2 linked regions of the Caenorhabditis elegans genome follow. The protein of the gene in region 1 purifies or fractionates together with the protein of each later gene. This does not show direct contact. Each region holds a gene or a part of one and is shown on either strand. Other genes may lie near its edges.

Region 1 (4,960 bases):
GTTCAGAGATTGACTAAAATAATGTTTGCTAGATCCCTGTAGAAGTTTATCACATAAAAGTCACTAAACTCTTTATAATTTTGGTTCAAACCGTGAAAATGATCATTTTTGGCATAACAACGTTAGACCAGTTGAAAATGATTTTCCAGCCGTTTATTTACATGAAAAGTCGTCGAATTTTTCGTGCTCAAAGCTCAAAGTTTTCTGTTAAAAATTATTTAGTAATTATTAACTTCGAGCTTACTAGAAATTTGACCCATTGTTTAGATTCAGATGAGTCAGTTTTACAGATTTGTAATTTGATAATGTTATTACTATAGCCATTTAGCATCTTGCACTTTTAATTAAATATCAATCTAAGGTATCAATCTTGAGCCTTGATCATTATCACCATTATCAAATTGAACCGTTTTAGCTTGCCGCCAACTGCCATTCTCAATGAAGTCCTTTTGAAAGTCAACAAACTCAGAGTCTTGCTCTCTTTGCTTTCTCACTATTTCTTTTGATTGGGCTCTTTTCTCTTGACCTCGAGTTTACTCAGTAACTTTGTGGTTGGCATGGATGGAATAAAAGAAAAACATACAATCGTGGAGTTTTTTCGCAGTTTTTTTCGGAATGCAACTGATGATGACAGTATTGGGTTAGACACACCCATTGAAATAAGGTATAAAAATGATCAAACGAAAAATCTTCACCATTTCTGCTCACTTCAATCGAACGAAATGAACACGTAAGTTTTCTAGCAAACGATTTATGTTATCATTAGGTAGGATGTGCATCATTCATTCGTAAATTTTCAGCCTCCTTGCTCTTTGCTCACTTCTTGCTGTGGCTTCTGCCCAATACTTGTATTATCCAACAAGTTATTACACACCATACTATTACTATTATCCAACCGCTGCAGTTGCTGGTACCACTGGAGTTGCTCAGCAAACTCAGGCTGGTGGAGCTTCCCAACAAGCTTATGCTCAACAGCAACCACAACAAAACCAACAGTATGCTCAAGGAACCCAACAACAACAACAACAGTATTATCCACAACAAACGCAACAGGGTCAGCAACAACAAACTCTTCAATACCAACAAGGAGTTCAACAGCAACCAGTACAGTATGATCAATCAGGAAATACCCAACAGGTTCAATATGATCAATCATCCCAAATGCAGCAACAACCACAACAACAACAGCAATACACGCCTCAATATGATCAATCTGGAAATACTCAAAATCATCAGCAAGGAACTCAACAGACTGGAGCTGTGGCTGCTCAGCCACCTTACTACTATTATACATCTCCATACTATTATTATGCTTATGGAAGAAAATAGAAGAGTATTACGGAACTTGCCCAGCCCATCGTTGTTTCATATTATGATTTCATTCCTCACACTGCCTTTATGCGAACGAAAATAATTGAAAAAAAAAACAATAAATGATTCGAAATTTATGCGAAATGTTGTGTAAGAAAATATTTTTGAAAAAGCAGATTAATACCTGAAAATATTTCCAATTAAAGCAGTGGAATTGTCTTCGTGCCTACCTCGTGCCTGCCTACATCTCAACTGCTGGCTTATTTGTTTACCACATGCCAGACCAATCAGTTTGCACGAAATATTATTTTTGAACTATTAATAAGATACATTTGTTATATCTGTACAGCCTGACACTTTTTTAGAGCGATTATTTGGAGAGTATTCAACACCATCATATTTTGATACCTGAGTTTCAGCCAGCTTAACAGTTTTTTCATTAAAACCGAACACAAATTCAACGGCCCACTAGTTACTCATAACCTAAACATTGGCAGGTGTTCTCTTACATAATCTGTTATAAACAAATGGATCGTCTCAATTTCCAATCAGGTATCAATGACATAAACAAATTATTCACCCTCCACCGTGCAACTCCATTAATTTCATTTCATTTTCGCAACAAATGATACCTAACTTACAGTTATTTCTTTCATTAATACTATTCGGCTTATTAAATCATGTATCTTCAATTGACTATGAAGAAATACACATCGAAGATTCATATGAAACAAGGTAACGAATCCTTTAATTTTTTTTCAAAATTACGTCCGAAAACATTTCAGATCACGTATTCTAATGGTTGATGGAAATGTGTGGTTGCATGCCGGAAAGGATAAAAATATAACGTTCAAAACGACTGGAAATGGAAGAATATATGTGGACGAAACAGATGTTTCCAAACTTCCAGATATTGTAGGTAGACTGCTGAAATTATCCAAAAAAAAAATGAACGAGCTTCTACAAAACATTTATTTTTGATACGTTGCTTTGCTTAACACACAGATTTCTTATTTAGTAGAGGCTTATGCCGATGGTTTCTTGGCAGCTTCCACTTCAATAAATTTGATGAGATCAGCTCGTTCGTCAGCTTTCTTCAAACCAGCGAAGACCATCTGAAAATTTCTTATTAATACTCCATCGCACTTCCTAGAAAATCCTACCTTAGTTCCGGGGATGTACTTTTTCGGATCAGCCAAATAGTCGAAAAGTGTTTGTCTGTCCCATACAACTCCTTTATTCTTGTTGGCAGCCGAGTAGTCAAATCCAGCAACTTGTCCGGATTGTCTTCCAATCACTCCGTTCAATGTTGGTCCAGTCTTTGTTTGCAATGAGTTGACAACGTGACATTGCTCGCAACGTTGTTTGAAGATCTGAAAATCAATAGGTTTTCTGGGAACACTATAATGAAAAATTTAACTAACCTTCTTTCCTTTCTCATTGTCTCCTTCTGGAATAGCTCCACCGGATGCCGTATCAGACTTCTTCTTGCCCATGTTTCAAGAACTGATTAAAACATAGACGGTCAGATTAGAAAAAGGAACGAAACGTGGATTACGAGTAAGAGTTGGAATTAGATAGTCGGAGATCACGCAAAAATTTACTTTTTGACAACTATTTAAAAAGAATCACTTTCCTGAGAAACGGTCACGTAAATTTTGATAATTAAGTTCTATTATTTTTATAAAACTTTTCAAAATGAATAATTGTTTGAAAATGTTTGAACTATGGAAGTTTTTGAAAATTAACTCGAATTACAATTTTCAATATTCAAAATAATTTTCAGGCATCTTTCAAGCAACTTGTTGGACGTATTGAGAACACTTCTCAAATGTTCACCACTTTGAAAAGTCGCCAGGACACGCAGACTTCTGCAATGAGAGTGGTTTTAAATTCTGCAAAACATTATCTAGTAGCGGTAATTCCATACATTTTTTTCTCTTTTTGAAATCAATTTTTAGCTTCGAAATATGACACTCGAAGTGAATATCTTGAAGAAGTGGAAAACTGATAAAATGGCCAGAGACATGAGGAGACGGGGATTATTGGTGAAAATGACACGTCAAATCATGTAAGACACAACAAGTTAGGTTTGACTATTTTTTATAAATTGTTAACTTTCAAGAGGAATCAACAAATTGATAGCAATAAACGCGTGCGATCCGAACAAATGTAGTAATGGAGGCACATGTATCCCATCTTTTGGCGCCAAATTCACTTGTCTTTGTCCTCCACATTTCACCGGTACAACTTGTGAAGCTGACATCGATGAATGCTCAGTATACAATGGTACAACTGCTGGATGTCAGAACAATGGAACATGTATCAATAACCGTGGCGGATTTGAATGTCAGTGCCAATCCGGATATCATGGATCTCTTTGTCAGTATCATATGTCCGCTTGCTCGAAAACTTTTGAATTGTGTGGTCCACATGGGCATTGTATTGAGAGTATTGTGGATCCAACTGGTCAGTCATCTTCCGATACAACTACGTACAAGTGTATTTGTGATTGGGGTTTCAAGGTTTCAAGTGATAAGAACAATCCAACGTGTGTTGATGTCAATGAATGCGAATCAAATCCATGTCATCCAGGAGTTGATTGTATTAATTTGCCTGGATCGTTTGTGTGTTCCGGATGTCCAAAAGGATATAAAAGTAAGTTAGAATTATATATGTTCAATCAAATCAAAAATAAAATAATTTTTTTGGTTTAATTCTTGTCTAGAAAATATATACTCGTATCCAAAACGTTTTCATAAAATAGGTAAGTAGGCATTTAAATAGGTCAATAGGTGTGTGGTAGGCATGAGGTAGACACGTACGCCTGAACAAGTGCCTACCCTGTATAACACTTACAAATTTCAAGCTTTTTTTGTGAAAATACTTGTTTGGATTTCTCAGTTCCGAGAATGAGGAGAGAAAGTCTTATAAACTTCGGCTTAACAATGTGAAAAATCAGAATTTGTTAGTTTGAAGGTGTCGAAAAATGTACTGAATATCTGTCATTGAAATCCAAAAAGTAAAATAAATTCAGCCGATGGAAATGTTTGTATTGATGTCAACGAATGTGAAGGTGAAATTCGTGTATGCTCTCCGCTTTCAAAATGTCATAACACTCTTGGCAGTTATTATTGTGATTCGTGTCCGACTGGATACTCCGGCGATGGAGGAAATTGTGTGAAAGATGATAGTTGTGTCAAAAACAAATGCCATAAATTAGCAACATGCAAGGTAACTGACGACGGATACAGTGCTGTTGGAGACTACACTTGCTACTGTCCAGATGGATATGTTGGTGACGGAATTGGAGAGGAAGGATGTGTTAAGTCAGCAAGTAACGTTTGCCAGAACCACAATTGTGTTAATGCTGGGAAATGCAAGGTAACACAAATGAAGACAAGTAAGCACTGTTACTCAAAAAATAGTTTTCAGCCAACAAGCGACACCGAATATAAATGTGAATGTGAAGCTGGTTTTCTTGGAAAGTTCTGTGAGAAAACATCACCGTGCCAAACGAATCCTTGCAAAAATGGAGGAACTTGTATTGCCGTTGAAAATTCTGCTTATTGCGACTGTCCAGAGCACTTCTTTGGTAGGGCATGCGAAGAAGAGGAAGAACGTAAGAAAATTCATTAATAAAATTTTT
Region 2 (3,193 bases), 9.1 Mb from region 1:
ATGGAGGCTTAAAGAGGTAATTTTTAATATTAGAAGCCTATGTAATTTTTTTTTCTGCAATTCCAGTGTGAAAGAAGCCGTGTGCTCCGCAACTCCCTCACTCTTCATGCCAATGTTCGCGGAGCAAATGAGAAATGCGTGGCTCGCCAAAAGCAAAGGATTTGCACGTATTTTAAACAAATTCCACCTTTCCGAACAATACCTCGAGAATCATATTCGAGAAGTGGTGGAGCACAAGTCTTATCAAATTCAAGCGGAGCAATTCCTGTCAACTTTCACGGATCAGCCGATGCCGGCGCTGGATGAAGCCGCGTTCAAGTTTGAGAGACTGTTCAAGTATAATGGGAAAATGCCGAAGTTTTTCTATCCAAAAACTATTGATCTTTCCTATCTTACGGCTTTGAATTTAGATATTTGGGTTATAGTCCCACTTGTTCTAGGCTATATTATTTCAAAGTAATTTTTACGGGGAAAAATCTAATCTCAAATTTACCGGTGTCAATTTTTTGTGATAAAAATGAAATTGTTTATTAGATTAAAAATAGATGGCAAAATTTAAAATTTTAAATTAAAAAAAAAAAAAAAACATTAATCCAATGGAAGCGCGCACTCCACTGGCAATCCAGTGGCCAGCACCGCCTGATTCTTCACCGCCGCCGCCGTCTCCACAATCTTCTGAACTACCATGATCATCGTCGTGAACACAGTGAATCCGAGCCCTTCGGTCAACGACACCGCCTGAGGAAATTGGGTCCTCAAGTCATCCCGAATTTCAGATTTTACATCTCGAATGCTCATGGCAAAGTCGCGAAGTAGCTGGAGGTTTTGGCCTGCGGTTTCGCCGGCTGGTCGTTGATCTCCGAGAAGATCCACTGCTTTTTCACGCCATTCACGCAGGAGAGCTTGGGTTTCTGGCTTCAAGTTATTGAATTTTGTGTAGAATGTTTCATTGTAAGAGTGGATTTTGTCGAAGACGGATGGAAGATGCTCGCGGAGCACACTGACAATTTCAGTGGTGGTATTTGGGCGCTGAATTCGATCCTGGAACCAGTTGGATAGGAAGCTCACGACTTCTCCTTTCTGGGTGATGTTCAGCTGAAAATTGAAATTTTTTAAATGTTATCTAACATCTAACTTTTTTCCATGAAAACTCACATTATCTATCGTCGTAATAATATCCAGCGGCAACATATCCTTGAACATCTTCAGCAACCCGATGTACCCATCGAAGGCCTCCACGGTGAGCATCTGCTCGGTTTTCTTCACCATCGGCTCTTCAACATCATTCGCAGCAGGAGTAGGTGCCGATGAAGTGAAGGCGAAAAATGTTGCAAAGACCAAAATTGCGGTGAACTTCATATTTTGAATATTCTCTGAGTTTTTGGCCACCCTTCTTTTATAAAGAAATTTCACTGGTTTCAAATTTCATAAACAAATCCTGTTTTTATTCATACCGAATCGTATGGTAATCAACAAATTGCGGAACAACTTTTTTTTGATCAAAAGATAAAATAAACGAATTCGAGTTTTTGATCAGAGTATGAGTATATTAGGTGTTGAAAAATTAATACCTTTGAAATGGTAGTTGACATGCCGAATTCTTTTTTCTTCAAATTTTGAGACCCGCAAGATGTCGGCCGCCCCAAATTTTTTCAGAGTCGAGATGTCAATTATCTTTCTCCTGATTTCCGATTTCCTGATTATTGAGTTCTAATCGACCTTTCAAATCCCAAGTGAGTCACTAAACATTTTGGTCAAAGTATACGTCTACCTACCTACATGCACGCGAGATTATTTATTGTAAATAGTCTCCCCCACTCATGATATAAATATGTGACCGTTACAAAAATTAAGCGACATTGCAGTGTGTTGGTCTACCTGATCTCCAAAAATATTTGGAAAATGTCACTTTTGAAGGCTACTGTTGTATTCATTCTTATTTCAGCAGTTAGTACTGCTCCGGCAGGATCGTTTTTGACAGAAGACGTAAATTCTTGCATTGAATGGTTTTATACCGCAGCTGAAACTAGAAACATCTCATGTTTGGGAGAATATGATTTTTTGTCGGTAGGTGTTTCTAAAAGGTGGGCAGGTACTGAGGCACTTATGCCTGATACGGGTTGGCAGTATAACAGAACATTTATTGAGTATTTTTACTGTCAGAAAATATTTTTTTTAAGTTCAAAAAGTTCCAAAAACAAAGTTTTCTTTCAAAAGTTGTTATAATTATTTGTAAAGATTTTTAAACAGTAAAAAAACAAATTTCAAAAACATTTTATTGACAGGGAAAAAATGGCAATCACAGAGTTTTGCCACTTTTTCAGAATCCTTACAATTTTTGAATATTAATCTTTAAAACTAATTGATATTTTTAATCGCCGCCTTCCAAAAAGTACCACTAATTTAATGATTGCAAATAAACAATTTTTTGCAAAAATGTTTGAATTCCAAGATTTTTTGCAAATTTTTATCCCAAAAATTGTTTTTTTTTCACTTTTTTTTGATACCAGGGGTGGGCGGCAAACGATTTTTCCGGCAAATAGGCTAATCGGCAAATTATCAGAATTGAAATTTCCGGCAAATGGGCAAACCGGCAACTTGCCGATTCGCCGAATTTGTCGCCAAAAAAATTGCCGAACGGTAATTGCCGCCCAACCCCTGATAGATACATCACGAAAATCACCGTAACTATTGCCAAATAAATTTTCAAAATTCATGTTCAGAACGACAAGCAAATCCAGAAAATGGCGTTTTTGGATGGCAAATCTTGCTTCCTCGATGCGACCAAAACCCAGTGCAGTTCCGGCTATAAGACGATCACTGAGAATTATGAAGGAATTGTGAATTTTCTCACCACACCACCAAACACAACATCGGATAGTTGCGAGGGCTCCTATTATTTTTACGAATCATTTAGATGTACAGCTTTGATCAATGGGTTTGCAAATAAGGTAAAACATATCTCACTGGAAGTTGATTCTAATGATGCCAGGACACCCAAAGTGATTGAGCAATGTTTTCAAGCAGAGGTAGGCTGGGGAACATTTTAAAAAGCTTGTGTAAAAGTTTTAGTATTCGTTATATGACGAGTTTGGAAAATGTATAAATTGCAAGTTTTTAAATTGAAAGTCTATTTTTGAATCGTTTTTTGTTTGATAAATTGAGTGCAATGCGAATTAACAAAAAAAAAAAC

What was found.
Region 2: the proteins of cubn-1 (region 1) and C07G3.10 fractionate together in Caenorhabditis elegans (co-fractionation; one large-scale study listed by BioGRID). This does not show direct contact.

The regions. Positions count from the first base shown.
Region 1 is NC_003283.11:12,609,411-12,614,370, forward strand, and holds the start of cubn-1 (Cubilin homolog), read left to right. Parts: upstream 1-1,918; 5' UTR 1,919-1,936; coding exon 1,937-2,046; intron 2,047-2,096; coding exon 2,097-2,226; intron 2,227-2,271; exon of another isoform or gene 2,272-2,336; coding exon of another isoform or gene 2,337-2,426; intron 2,427-2,474; coding exon of another isoform or gene 2,475-2,684; intron 2,685-2,735; coding exon of another isoform or gene 2,736-2,807; exon of another isoform or gene 2,808-2,808; intron 2,809-3,097; coding exon 3,098-3,229; intron 3,230-3,272; coding exon 3,273-3,382; intron 3,383-3,436; coding exon 3,437-3,969; intron 3,970-4,348; coding exon 4,349-4,695; intron 4,696-4,746; coding exon 4,747-4,933; intron 4,934-4,960. Other genes in the region: ZC116.1 (Prion-like-(Q/N-rich)-domain-bearing protein), read left to right, coding at 558-730, 801-1,329; cyc-2.2 (putative cytochrome c 2.2), read right to left, coding at 2,337-2,426, 2,475-2,684, 2,736-2,807. UniProt on the Caenorhabditis elegans protein: Cotransporter which plays a role in lipoprotein, vitamin and iron metabolism, by facilitating their uptake.
Region 2 is NC_003283.11:3,500,473-3,503,665, reverse strand, and holds C07G3.10 (Fatty-acid and retinol-binding protein 1), read right to left. Parts: upstream 1,360-3,193; coding exon 1,156-1,359; intron 1,096-1,155; coding exon 589-1,095; 3' UTR 515-588; downstream 1-514. Other genes in the region: ugt-64 (glucuronosyltransferase), read left to right, coding at 1-16, 67-460; C07G3.8 (T20D4.11-like domain-containing protein), read left to right, coding at 1,903-2,067, 2,724-3,029.